Ovis aries: one gene and its partners. The protein of the gene in region 3 purifies or fractionates together with the protein of the main gene of each other region. This does not show direct contact. Links are inferred from orthologs where the notes say so. Each region holds a gene or a part of one and is shown on either strand. Other genes may lie near its edges. The genes, in order: USP18, FOXO3 and SKP2.

Region 1 (4,135 bases), on a different chromosome or scaffold from region 3:
AGCTCGGAAACTGCTAAATATAAGTGGCATAATTAACAGGCTCATGTTAAATGGCTCAGATAACACTCTCTCTTTTCTTAGCAAATATTTTCAATAGTCATAAAGTTATTCCTCTAATGAGGATCAACCTATAAAAGTTAAACTGACAAAGAAAAGATGGCAGTTGACAATTCCATGAGCAAAACCTAGGACTTTGAGACCACATCAAAGGAAATCTGATGAAACAGTAGGAAGGGATCAGCCTGTTTTCCAGAGATACTTACTCTGCAGTCTGCCAGACCTTGAAAATAAGATGGTAAAACCCAGTAGAGGAATCATCTGGAGAGGTGAGAGGCCAGATCCCAAAGAGTCAACAGAGAAAGGCAGGAAACTTCAAAGGTAGTCATAGAGGAGATAGGTAGGTGGGGCAAAAAAGAGAGGAAAGCGAAACTTAAAGATCTGAGGAGGATGGGGAAAGTGAGCTAAGCAAGTGGTGACGGGGGAAAGGAGAATGGATATATTTTGAGGAATATTTTTAAGGATGCTGAATTTTCAAACTCAATGCCTGACTGAAAAATGGGCTCCAAAACAGGATTCTTAGGGCAGTGAGACTATTCCTATTCTGTCTGATACATGGTCGATACATGCCATTATACATTTGTCAAAATTCATAGAATGCACAAAACAATGAACCCTAATGTAAAGCACAGACTTTACATGATAATGACCTACGTTCATAAATTGTAACAAACTGTTTACAGTGGAGGAGGCTGGAGGGGCAGGAGGTATATAGGAACTCTGTGTACTCAATTTTGCTGTGAACCTAAAATTGCTCTGAAAAATAGTCTCCTATTTAATAAAATCTTAGGTTCCAAAGAACAAAACTAACAACCCACTCTTTCTAAAATTTTTACACTTATAAATGGGAGATGTGAAGGACAGAAACAGCTGGCTTAGACTAGCCACCACTGCAGCCACAGAAACAACCAGAGACTTCAGAGAAACAGCCTAAGACTCGACATAGGAAACCTGGGCTGGCCCCGGGTGCTAACTGGGCTCTTCACTCACTAATAGACTCTCTGCAAGGAAAACCAACTCCGTCCTTAAATGCCCAAAGAGGATCAAAACCTACATGCCTGGACTGTGTGTGATGCAAGCCTCACAGTCCAAAAGCAACCCATCATGGCAACAGATCCAGATCTCGTATTTCATGTTGGTGTGTGCTGCTCCAGTAACGGTAATGCGCTGGGCACAATGACTGGAACACTCCAGATGAAACCTCTTTGCAAGCTCATCACTATATTTAATATAAAAGCATCCATACTGTGCACCGAATTTTTATTGGTTTAAAAAAATTAAAGGTTTTCTTTTTTTCCCCAGTTCCTTGATAGAGATCCAAAAAACAGGATGAAGCTGTGTAACTGTTAGCTGATGGCCTGTCTGGTTCCTATGAGCACAGGAGACCTCCCAAATGTCCAGGCTGAAGCCCCCACCTCACCCTCACAATGTAACACCAAATGGAAAGTATGTATCAGTCACTCAGTCAAGTCTGACTCTTTTGTGACCCAGTCATGTCTGACTCTTTTGTGACACTGTGGACTGCAGCCCACCAGGTTCCCAGGTCCATGGAATTCTCCAGGTGAGAATACTGGAGTGGGTTGCCATTTCCTTCTCCAGGGGATCTTCCCAACCCAGGGATCAAACAAACCCAGGTCTCCCGCATGGCAGGAAGATTCTTCACTGTCTGAGCCACCAAAAAGAAATATTTTAAATATGTGCCCCTATTTCAATGATTTCAAAGTATAGCTACCTCAGTGCTGTAAGGCATGAAAGTAAAGGCTCTACTTTAATTTTCAGAACACGTTTAGGTCCAGATTTTCAGAGGTCATAGAGTTTTAGGTTTAAAGGTCTAAATTCAGACTAAAATATTCTGATTTGAACAATTTAACAAAATCTTTCAAATTTTTCAGTTTGTATGCCCACTGACCCAGCAATTCTACTTATAGGAACTCTCCACAAATATGCTTATATATTCACACAACTGTGACTATAAATGATACTGTTGTATCATCCATACCGCTAAAAACAGGAAAGAACCCAAATGTCCATGAAGTGTTTAAATAGAAAGACGTACCTCTCATATTTTTCACCAGTTTTTAAAATGAGGTGGACCTACTGTATCTCTTGCCATGGAAAGATGTCCATAATATACTGTTAGGTGGGGGGAAAGCAAATTTACAGAGCAATTTTGGAGTTGTACATATAAAAATTTCTGGCTAGGTAACCAATAAAATGATAGCGAGTTGAGGATTAAAAGAAACCTTATTTCTATCTCAGGTTTGTCTGCATTTTTTGGAATTTTTTTTACAAACTTCGACAGTTTTGCAATTTCTTCATTAATTAAAGTCATGCAAGGAGATGGTATGGGGAGGGAGGTGGGAGGGGGTTCAGGATTGGGAACTTATGTACACCCGTGGGGGATTCATGTTGATGTATGGCAAAACCAATACAGTAATGTAAAATAAAGTAAAATTAAAAAAAAAAGTCTAAATCAATACATCAGCGTGAGAAAACTGCATCGATCCAATACACCTATTAACGAATACAGGCCATTATTATAATCCGCGGAGCCCAAATAAATCCCATCAGTATCCACGAGGCAATGAGCAGAGCCCCGCCTTATCTTCACCACCAAACTTGCCTTAAGAGCCGCGAAGCTTCAGACCCGCGCTGCCAAGTCGAACGTGGGGGAAGTACAGCCACAGTGTGGGGCCCTCCAGGAGGCTGCGGGGCTGGCGCAGCGGGCGACGCCCGGTTCGTCCACTTCGGTCCCCCCCGGCTGTCCCCGCGCCTCCCTACTCACCTCGGTTCCCTACTTCTGGCCCTCTGGGTCGCCGCGGACGGGCGCCCTTGCATCAGGACCTCTGTCCCCGCCCATACCCCCGTCCCCGCCCCGTCCCCGCCCCGTCCCTGCCCCCGCCCTGGCGCTAGGCTTTCGTTTCCTGCGAACTGAAAGCGAAACTCAGCGGAGGAAGCGCTAGTGAGCACGAAGTCCGTGCCCCCGCAGTTGGTTTCGCGTTTAAACGTGCGCGCTGTCTGCAGAACACGGCCTAAACTGGTTCCTAGAGTGAGCTCTTGTTTGGACATTTTAAGATCTCCGTAGTCATTCGGAGGTGTTTTACAATCGTTTGGCATTTCGTAATACACGTGGCAGCATTTTTTTTCTTTCTTGAAGCAATGATCTAATTTCTTAAATTGGGTATCTTAAAATTGTCTGGCTTGTAGATTCGATGACAGACGGTAGATAGATGCAAGACGAAGCCCGCTGTCCTCTGGTGCCCCTGGGGTGGCGCGGGGGCGGGGACGGGGAACCCGCTGTGACGCAGAGCTGGTGGGGAACAGAAAGTGAACTGTTCCACCTTAGACCCTCACGTACACTGGGTCCCTGAGAAATGCCAGGCTCCCTGCTGCTGCTGCTGCTGCTGCTGCTGCTGCTGCTGCTGCTGCTGCTGCTGCTGCTGCTGCTGCTAAGTCGCTTCAGTCGTGTCCGACTCTGTGCGACCCCCATAGACGGCAGCCCACCAGGCTCCGCCGTACCTGGGATTCTCCAGGCAAGAACACTGGAGTGGGTTGCCATTTCCTTCTCCAAGGCACGAAAGTGAAAAGCGAAAGTGAAAGTGAAGTCGCTCAGTTATGTCTGACTCTTAGCGACCCCATGGACTATAGCCTACCAGGCTCCTCCATCCATGGGATTTTCCAGCAAGAGTACTGGAGTGGGGTGCCATCCCTGCTAAGCTCTAAACCTAATTCAGTCTATATGACAGGTTCCTAATAGAGGCCCCATTTTTATTTCAGTTTTATAGGCGCGGATACTAATTTTCAGAGAGGCTAAGTGGGACTTCGCAGATGGTCCAGTGGTTAAGATTTCCCCTTCCAAAGCAGGGGGTCTGGTTTGGTCCCTGGTCTCCCTGGTTGGGGAGCTAAGATCCCACATGCCTCACGGCCAAAACACAAAAACATAAAACAGAAATGATAAAACACATTAAAAATGGCCCACAGCAAAAAAAAAAAAAAAAAAAGAGGTTAAGTGACTTCACTAAGGTCACAAGATTACAAGGGATGAAGCCAGGATTCCAGAGGGTCTTAACCCTAATTC
Region 2 (4,180 bases), on a different chromosome or scaffold from region 3:
CTAACTCAATTATATCTCTATAGTCTTCAAGGATTAGTTATCATGCGATAATCAGAAATGGACCTGGTGTAAAATTTTAAAGATAAAATATTCATAAAATATGCACCCAGTATTAAACATATGACTGCTGGACAGTTTCAATTTATAATGCTTCATAAGATTTTAGTTAAAGAAAAATGAGATAGCAGAGAAGGAAAAAACAAACCATGAGACCAAAAAGAGTTAAGATATAAAACCACGAAGTTTAAGACTAGGCCCCAAATCTCTATTGCAGATCCTGTAAGCTACGTGAAAATATAATAAATTCAGTATCAATTCATGGTTATTTTTGGTAGCCACACTTTCCCACATAAGTCTTAAAAAAAAACTTTCAAATGCCATAAACTGGTATTATCTTTAACCATAAACATGATGCAAGAAATATTACTTATGGAAAACTACTTTCATAACCTTAAAAATCATAAAAAAGGTGAAAACCCTTGCTATGTTAACTTTCTAACTAACTTAAAGCTAACTTTTAACTAACAGATTCTCTGCACCAAATCCAAAATTTGTAGGACTAAATTTCAAGTGTGAGAAATTTGGAAAAGACTCCACACCCCACCCAATCCATCTTCTTAGATCCCACAAATTCATCCCTTCCTAACACTATACACTGAGATCAACCCTTGCTATCCACTTGAAAACTCAATTTTTAAAAGTATCACATCAGCACTGCTTTGAAACAGAATTCTCATCCTTTTCATAAATATCCTATTATCACAAAACTGGCATTCTTTTGCAAAGCAATACAACTGAATCGAACCTAAGATTCATAATAACAGCGTTTGTTCAAGGATGAGATAGATTTGTGGAACAATATCAAAGCACTTGTTTTCCTTTTAAAGTATCAAACCCTTTCCCTATACTAAGCATAAAAAAATTTTAAGGCATATTTCAAGATTTTTTTAAACCAAATTAAAAGTCAATGACACTAAATTCTTTAGCTTTTTCATGTACTAGCTCCTCTCCAGTGCTTCAGTTCTCCACCTAAGGTCAAACTGTTCTTATTTTATACACCCACTGGAATCTAGGAAGTACAGAGCTCCCCAAAGACAACAAAGGAAGGGACAGAAGGAGGAAGCAACCACCTTTTTAATTAAAAAAAAAAAAAAAATCCAACTTGTTACTAGAAGCAACAGACAGAAAGATATGTGTCTACAGCTGCACAGGGCTCCCTTTAGCCTGGTATGCATTCCTGTCTTGGGAGATGTGGCCAGGAGGATGAGGTGCAAGAGCAAAGCCGCTGGGTATCAGCGGCCCAGCAGGGGCACAGGAGTTAATCTCTTTGGATGCCCAATTGCAGGAAGTCATTACATCATAGGCCTTTCCACACCTCTCTCCCTACCACGTGTCCAGTGCCCCAAGAGGCTGAAAACGAACAGTAGAGAGCCTCTCTTCAGGTTCACTTACAGGTAGAAGCCATTACGGTCCAGCCCTGCCAGCAAACCTCCCTCCCCAAGGCCCAGGTGAGGCGCCAGGCGCGGGTCCTGGGCACCTGGACCCTCTGCCTCAAACAGCGCCAGAATCCGGACCTCTGCGCAGAAGCCAGCAGGTGCAGCGAGTCCCCGCTGAGGTAAAAGGGCTGGCCCGTGCCAGGCCCCAAAGCACCTCAGAAGCTACCTGCTGTAGAGACATCTCTGAAGAACAGAGGTGTGGACACAGGCAAGGAAAGGAAACCGGCCAGGAAGAGGTTTACAACCACCGCTTTTTGTAATTGGATTGATGTGCCTGTGGGAGCGAAAACCCCACAAGCCCGAAAACTTGGGCACAAGGGTTCTCATCCAGGTAGTCACAACACACCACGCTTCAGCGACTGACTTAAAACCACAAATCCACTCCTCCCAACCCGTTCCCTCACTCCCCCCGTAGTGGCCTCGCCGCACCCCCACGATGGGGGACTTCTACTCCCAAGTTGGCCGCAGACCTACCTTCTCTGCGATGACCCAGGAATCCGGCAAATTCACTCCGGTCCGTCTGTCCTTCCCTCGCCGGTGTCCCTCAACCCCTCGCCTCACCTGGCCATGCCTGAGGTTTCCCCAGGAGCCTTCTCTCCTGCCACCTTCGCGGCCGTCCCCGGTTGCCCCTCCTCCGGGATCACACAAAACCCCCAAAACCTCACAGCGGAGGCTCTCCCTGCCAACCCCTCTCCCCCGCGCCCTCAGGAGCGCTCCGTCGAATCGAAGACGCGCCTCGCACTGCGCAGGAGGCCCGGCGGGTCCGGCCGCCCGCCCCAGGTGGGTACGCACCTTCCAGCCGGCAGAGCTGTTGCTGTCGCCCTTATCCTTGAAGTAGGGCACGCAGCGCACCATCCACTCATAGATCTGGGACAGAGTGAGCCGTTTGTCTGGGGAGCTCTCGATCGCGCGAGTGATCAGGTCGGCGTAGGACAGGTTCCCCCAGGCGTTCCTCCGCGACGAGCATTTCCTCGGCTGCCCGGAGCCCCCAGCCGTCCCCGGCTGCGGCGGTGGCAGTGGCTGCTGAGGCTGCAGCGGTGTCTGCGTTCCCCCGCTCAGCGCGCCCGCCGCGGGGGCTGGCCCGGACCCGGGGTCCTGCCCTCCAGGAGCCAAGAGCCGGGCCGAGTCCTCCAGGAGTAACCCAGAGCCCAGCGGGCCGCCCCCGCCGCCGCCGATCGCCATGGCCGAGCCGGCCCTACCGCCACCGTCCTCGTCGTCTTCATCGTCCTCCTCCTCGGGGATCATGGAGTCAGCAGCCGCCTCCCCAGAGGGCTTGGCCGGGCTCCCCTGGAGCTCCGGCCTCTGCAGGGGCCACGTACAGGAGCGCGGCCGGCTCTGGGGCTCGAACTCCGGGTCCAGCTCCACTTCGAGCGGAGAGATCGGGGCCGGGGAGGCCGGCGCCTCTGCCATCTTCGCCGCCCGCCCGCCCGCCCGCGGCTCGGGCTCTCGCGCTCTCCTCTCGCGCCGGGGCGGGGTGCGGCGGGGGAGGGACGGGGGCGCCGAGAAGGCTCGGGCTCCCAGGCGGCGCCGCCGCCGCCGCCGCTACAGCCGCCGCCTGGGGAAGCACGAGAGGAGAGAGAAGGAGAGTTGGTTATCCCGGGCTGGAACCCAGTCTTCGGCGAGTCCTCGCCCGCCGTCGCCGCCGCCACCGCTTCGCGACCGCACCGCGCCCGCCTCCCAGGAGCAGGCAGACCTGGAGACGTGCGTCCCGCGAACCTGGCGCAGCAGACGCCGCCCCCAGACCAGGCCGCTGGGGAGACGGGAGCGAATCGACGGGCTCGCACGGGGCACCCCCTCCCCCGCCGCCGCCGGAGCTGCAGGTCTCTCCTGGGCTAGGTGGCTGGGCGGGGAAGAAGGGGGAGGGGCGGGGCGGGGGAGGGGCGCGGGCCGCGCCTTTAAAGCGGGCAGCAGCCGGCGCTGGCGCAGCCCAGCTGCGGTCCGAGCCCGAGTCCGGGCGGGCGGGCGTGCGTTTGTTTATGTTTCGCTCGGGCCCGCTCAAGTGCTTCCCGCGACGCCGCCGCCAAAGTCTGTGGCGTCTTCGGCTCTTCTTCCAGTCCCCGGCCCTGCTGCCTCCGCGCCCCTCTGCCACCCCCTCCCAGCGGAGGGCTCGAGCCCGGGGACGGCGCGGGAAGCTCCTTATTTCCCTCTCTGCCCGCGGGCTGAGAGGGCAAGCGTGGGTCCGAGCGCAAACAGGCCCTTGTCACTTCCAGAAAAAGGGGAAGCCGGGAAAAAGGAGGGCAAGCAGCTCGGTGGGTATTTGCCAAGGGTCGAGCCGAGCGGCAACGGCCACTTTCGGGGTTTGTGAGGCTTATTCTCCCACGGGCGTTGTGCCTTACACCCCCTTCCCAGTGAAGAACGGGAGAAGGGGGCAAGTCGGAACGTAAATCTTCCAACAGGTCAGGAAGCACCAAGTCTCCCGGGCCGCCAGAAAGCTCAGACCAGCACGTTCTTCACCTCCTTGCTCCCGCTGCTGCCATCTTGACAGTTTCCCCCCCTTCACTCAAGTCCTTTAAAAACACTAGCGGGAGAGAAGAGGGGCGCGCACACCGAGTCACGGGGAGGGAAAAGGGAAGCGCCTGGCCCAGCTCAGAAGCAGATCCGGAGTCGCCGGGAAGGCGGTCGACCCGCTCACAGCTCCGGCGCCTACCTCGGTTCCTTCCCCTCAGGGACGAGGGGGGAGGACG
Region 3 (3,084 bases):
TGCTCACATCTCCTTTCAAGAGGGCAAGCCTTGTTCAAATAAAGATCAAGTCATATCCTTAAGTTGCAGGTAACCTTTCGTGACTCCAGCTTATGCCACAGTAAAACATTTGCTTTTCCCATCACTAGCTTGCTGGCTTCCCCTCCCAACACAGTGACATTTTTTCAGTATAAACCAAGAGTTGGTGGGGAAGGGGGTGGAATATAAACCAGGAATAGAGAAAGAAAGAAGATATGTTTGGATTTTAAATAAACCTAGGAGTTTTTCGGTTATTAGAAATTCAGTGAAATGCACTTGTGTGTTTCCTAAGGCCATATTGCCCAAGCTGTGGCCTGTGCTTTGTGGTTTGATTCACCTTTGCTATTCCCTCAAATCATTGATTGCAAATTATGTCTTCAGTTTGTTTTGTATAAAATACAGTGTGTAAAAATTGGATCATGTAACTCTAGTGGCACAGTTACCACAGATACTGCTACTCTGAAAATCTCTCCTTCCTTTCCAGTGAACTTGGAGAAATTCCCACATTGAAAACACTACAGGTCTTTGGAATTGTACCAGACGGTACCCTTCAACTGTTAAAGGAAGCCCTCCCTCATCTGCAGATTAATTGCTCCCATTTCACCACCATCGCCAGGCCGACCATTGGCAACAAGAAGAACCAAGAGATATGGGGCATCAAATGCCGGCTGTCACTGGAGAAGCCTAGTTGTCTATGAAGCCTCTATTGCAAGGTGGTGTCTCCTCTTTTCTTTGAACAGGGAAAGGAAGCAGGAAGCCCAATTGTGGAGAGCTCAGCTATTTTTATTCTTGGTTTTCTGTTGCATTCCTTCTACAAGCATATTCGAGAACCATTGAAGACAGAAAACTACGAAGTGTTTGTTGCTTTTCAGAAATGACTATGAAAGCTTTTATCACTGCTATACCTTTAAGAGCCTCAGTTCTACGCTTTTTGAAATTTTAGGGAGAGTGAGCCTATAATTTCAAGATACCTTAAATAGCAAAATTTGAACCACGTCTTCCAAGTGCCATTCTTTATAAATCTATTTAGAATCAAGCTTAAAAATCACCACCAGCAAATCATTTTCGTAGCCTATATGGCAACTGAACATTCTTCTATTTAATTTTTCAGCACTGCTTTATTATAAGACATAGGTTGCAAAAAATAATAAGCTATTTGTATTGTAAGCTGAAAAGAATGAGAATCATAGAGTAGATCTGCAGCAATCTTCTGAGGATGGCAAGAAAAACAGACATTTCAACTGCACCTTTAGATTCACAATCTGGGTGATGGAAACAAATAGCCCCAGGTCATTCACCTTAAAACCTAAGAAACAGTTGGCCAACCAGAGGTGCAGAATTGGTATAGAATTTAAAGGCTCAAGAGACAGTTTTCTATGACAGTTAACCTGGGGTATCCTCTAATGCACATTAATGAGGTCGTCTTTATGTACAGTTGGGAAGGTCCCCTGGAGGAGGAAATGGCAACCCACTCCAGTATTTTTGCCTAGAGAATCCCATGGACAGAGGAGCCTGGTGGGCTACAGTCCATGGGGTCGCAAAAAGTTGGACACGACTGAGCGACTAATATTTTATTTCCTTTATGTACTGTGTTTGCAGCGTTCTGAATTAGCTGAGGAAATTGAATTGTGGACTTCTGACTTTATGTTGACGTGGGTTCTTTAGCTTTTAAAATGACTCACTTTGTTTTAGAGAGGTAGGAACCAGTCACTTCTTTGATTCTTGAAATGTTGGATAGAATCCTGAACCACAGATGCCTGCGTTTTCCTTTTCGCTAAGGTTCTCAAAGTTATTTTTACTCTGGAATCAAGTATTTTAAATTGTCTTTTTTTATTTTATTATTTTAATGGCCTCCCACAATGATTATTTCTAGCAACTTGTTTTATAAAGTTCTGGACCTGGAGTTCCCTAAGAACTGCATGTTCCTTTCAATTAGGAATATACCCTAGAAGAAGGTGTATGTTCCGTGCAGTTTCAGAGCAATAAGCAAGCTGGCACATGCATAAAAGTTAAGACTTGGGTGCTGAACCTTTTGATAGCATAGTGGTTTTTTTTTAATGATACATAGAAGCAAAAGGACTAAATTCTACTTTTAAAAAAACATAAAACATTAACTTCTTGTTTAAATCGATGACCTTCCCGTATATTCAAAATGGAGCAAAAAACCCAAACTCATCATTTCTATTAACATTGCTTTTTTTAAAAATCAGATCTCTGAAATGTTAGAAACAATGTATGAAGTGCCCTTATCTGCTCAAACCTAAGGAAGAACATTCTTATTAAGTAGTGTTACACGGGAAATGATTAGGTTTCAATTTTGTAGTAGTTTAAAAGTGCTACATACTACTTGAAATTATTGTTTACAGATTAGTGACACAGGCTGGGAGGGAGGATCCGGTTGGCCTCTGATTTCCGGATGCCCTCACACACACAGTACTTCCAAACTCAAGTCCAGCCATAAGCTATTTTGCTAACATGTCAGAGTAATCTGTATTTTTGTATGTGATTTCTACTTTTATAGATTTGTTTTAAAATAAAACACATTTTTATAAAAATGAATACTTCAGCTAAGTTGTATTCCTTTTTTCTTTCTCTTTTTCTTAAGCACTCTGGTTAAAACAAGCATCAGGTATGGCGTGAGATTTCTCTCAGCCCTCTGAATGTGTGTGTGCTAAGTCATGTCCTACTCTTGCAACCCCATGGACTGTAGCCCACCAGGTTCCTCTGTCCTTGGGATTTCCCAGGTAAAAATATTGGAGAGGGCTGCCATTTCCTTCTGCAGGAGATCTTCCTGACCCAGGGATCAAACCTGTATCTCCTGTATTGCAGGCAGATTCTTTATCACAGAGCCACCAGGGAAGCCCCAACCCTCTAACAAGGCACTTTAAAACAAGCCGTAACATGGTCCCTTTTGCCCCATCTGCTTCATGTGTTGTCAAATTAAAATGTTTATAATTCTTTGTATGGTTAAAGTGCTTCTTAAAGTATTAACATACTTTATAAGACATTTGAGATTAAGTGATAAGTACCATCAATAAAGTATCAAGTACTATCAATAAAAATCAG

Evidence for each region.
Region 1: the proteins of SKP2 (region 3) and USP18 purify together in Homo sapiens (affinity purification with western blotting; 4 studies listed by BioGRID and IntAct, with this or other methods). This does not show direct contact. The link is inferred for Ovis aries from reciprocal best matches to the Homo sapiens genes SKP2 and USP18.
Region 2: the proteins of SKP2 (region 3) and FOXO3 purify together in Homo sapiens (affinity purification with western blotting; 3 studies listed by BioGRID). This does not show direct contact. The link is inferred for Ovis aries from reciprocal best matches to the Homo sapiens genes SKP2 and FOXO3.

The regions. Positions count from the first base shown.
Region 1 is NC_056056.1:181,613,162-181,617,296, reverse strand, and holds the start of USP18 (ubl carboxyl-terminal hydrolase 18), read right to left. Parts: upstream 2,918-4,135; 5' UTR 2,843-2,917; exon of another isoform or gene 2,681-2,842; intron 1-2,680. UniProt on the Homo sapiens protein: Interferon-induced ISG15-specific protease that plays a crucial role for maintaining a proper balance of ISG15-conjugated proteins in cells. Regulates protein ISGylation by efficiently cleaving ISG15 conjugates linked via isopeptide bonds.
Region 2 is NC_056061.1:28,920,091-28,924,270, forward strand, and holds the start of FOXO3 (forkhead box protein O3), read right to left. Parts: upstream 2,907-4,180; coding exon 2,289-2,906; intron 2,196-2,288; exon of another isoform or gene 1,971-2,195; intron 1-1,970. UniProt on the Homo sapiens protein: Transcriptional activator that recognizes and binds to the DNA sequence 5'-[AG]TAAA[TC]A-3' and regulates different processes, such as apoptosis and autophagy.
Region 3 is NC_056069.1:38,199,569-38,202,652, reverse strand, and holds the end of SKP2 (S-phase kinase-associated protein 2), read left to right. Parts: intron 1-502; coding exon 503-716; 3' UTR 717-2,577; downstream 2,578-3,084. UniProt on the Homo sapiens protein: Substrate recognition component of a SCF (SKP1-CUL1-F-box protein) E3 ubiquitin-protein ligase complex which mediates the ubiquitination and subsequent proteasomal degradation of target proteins involved in cell cycle progression, signal transduction and transcription.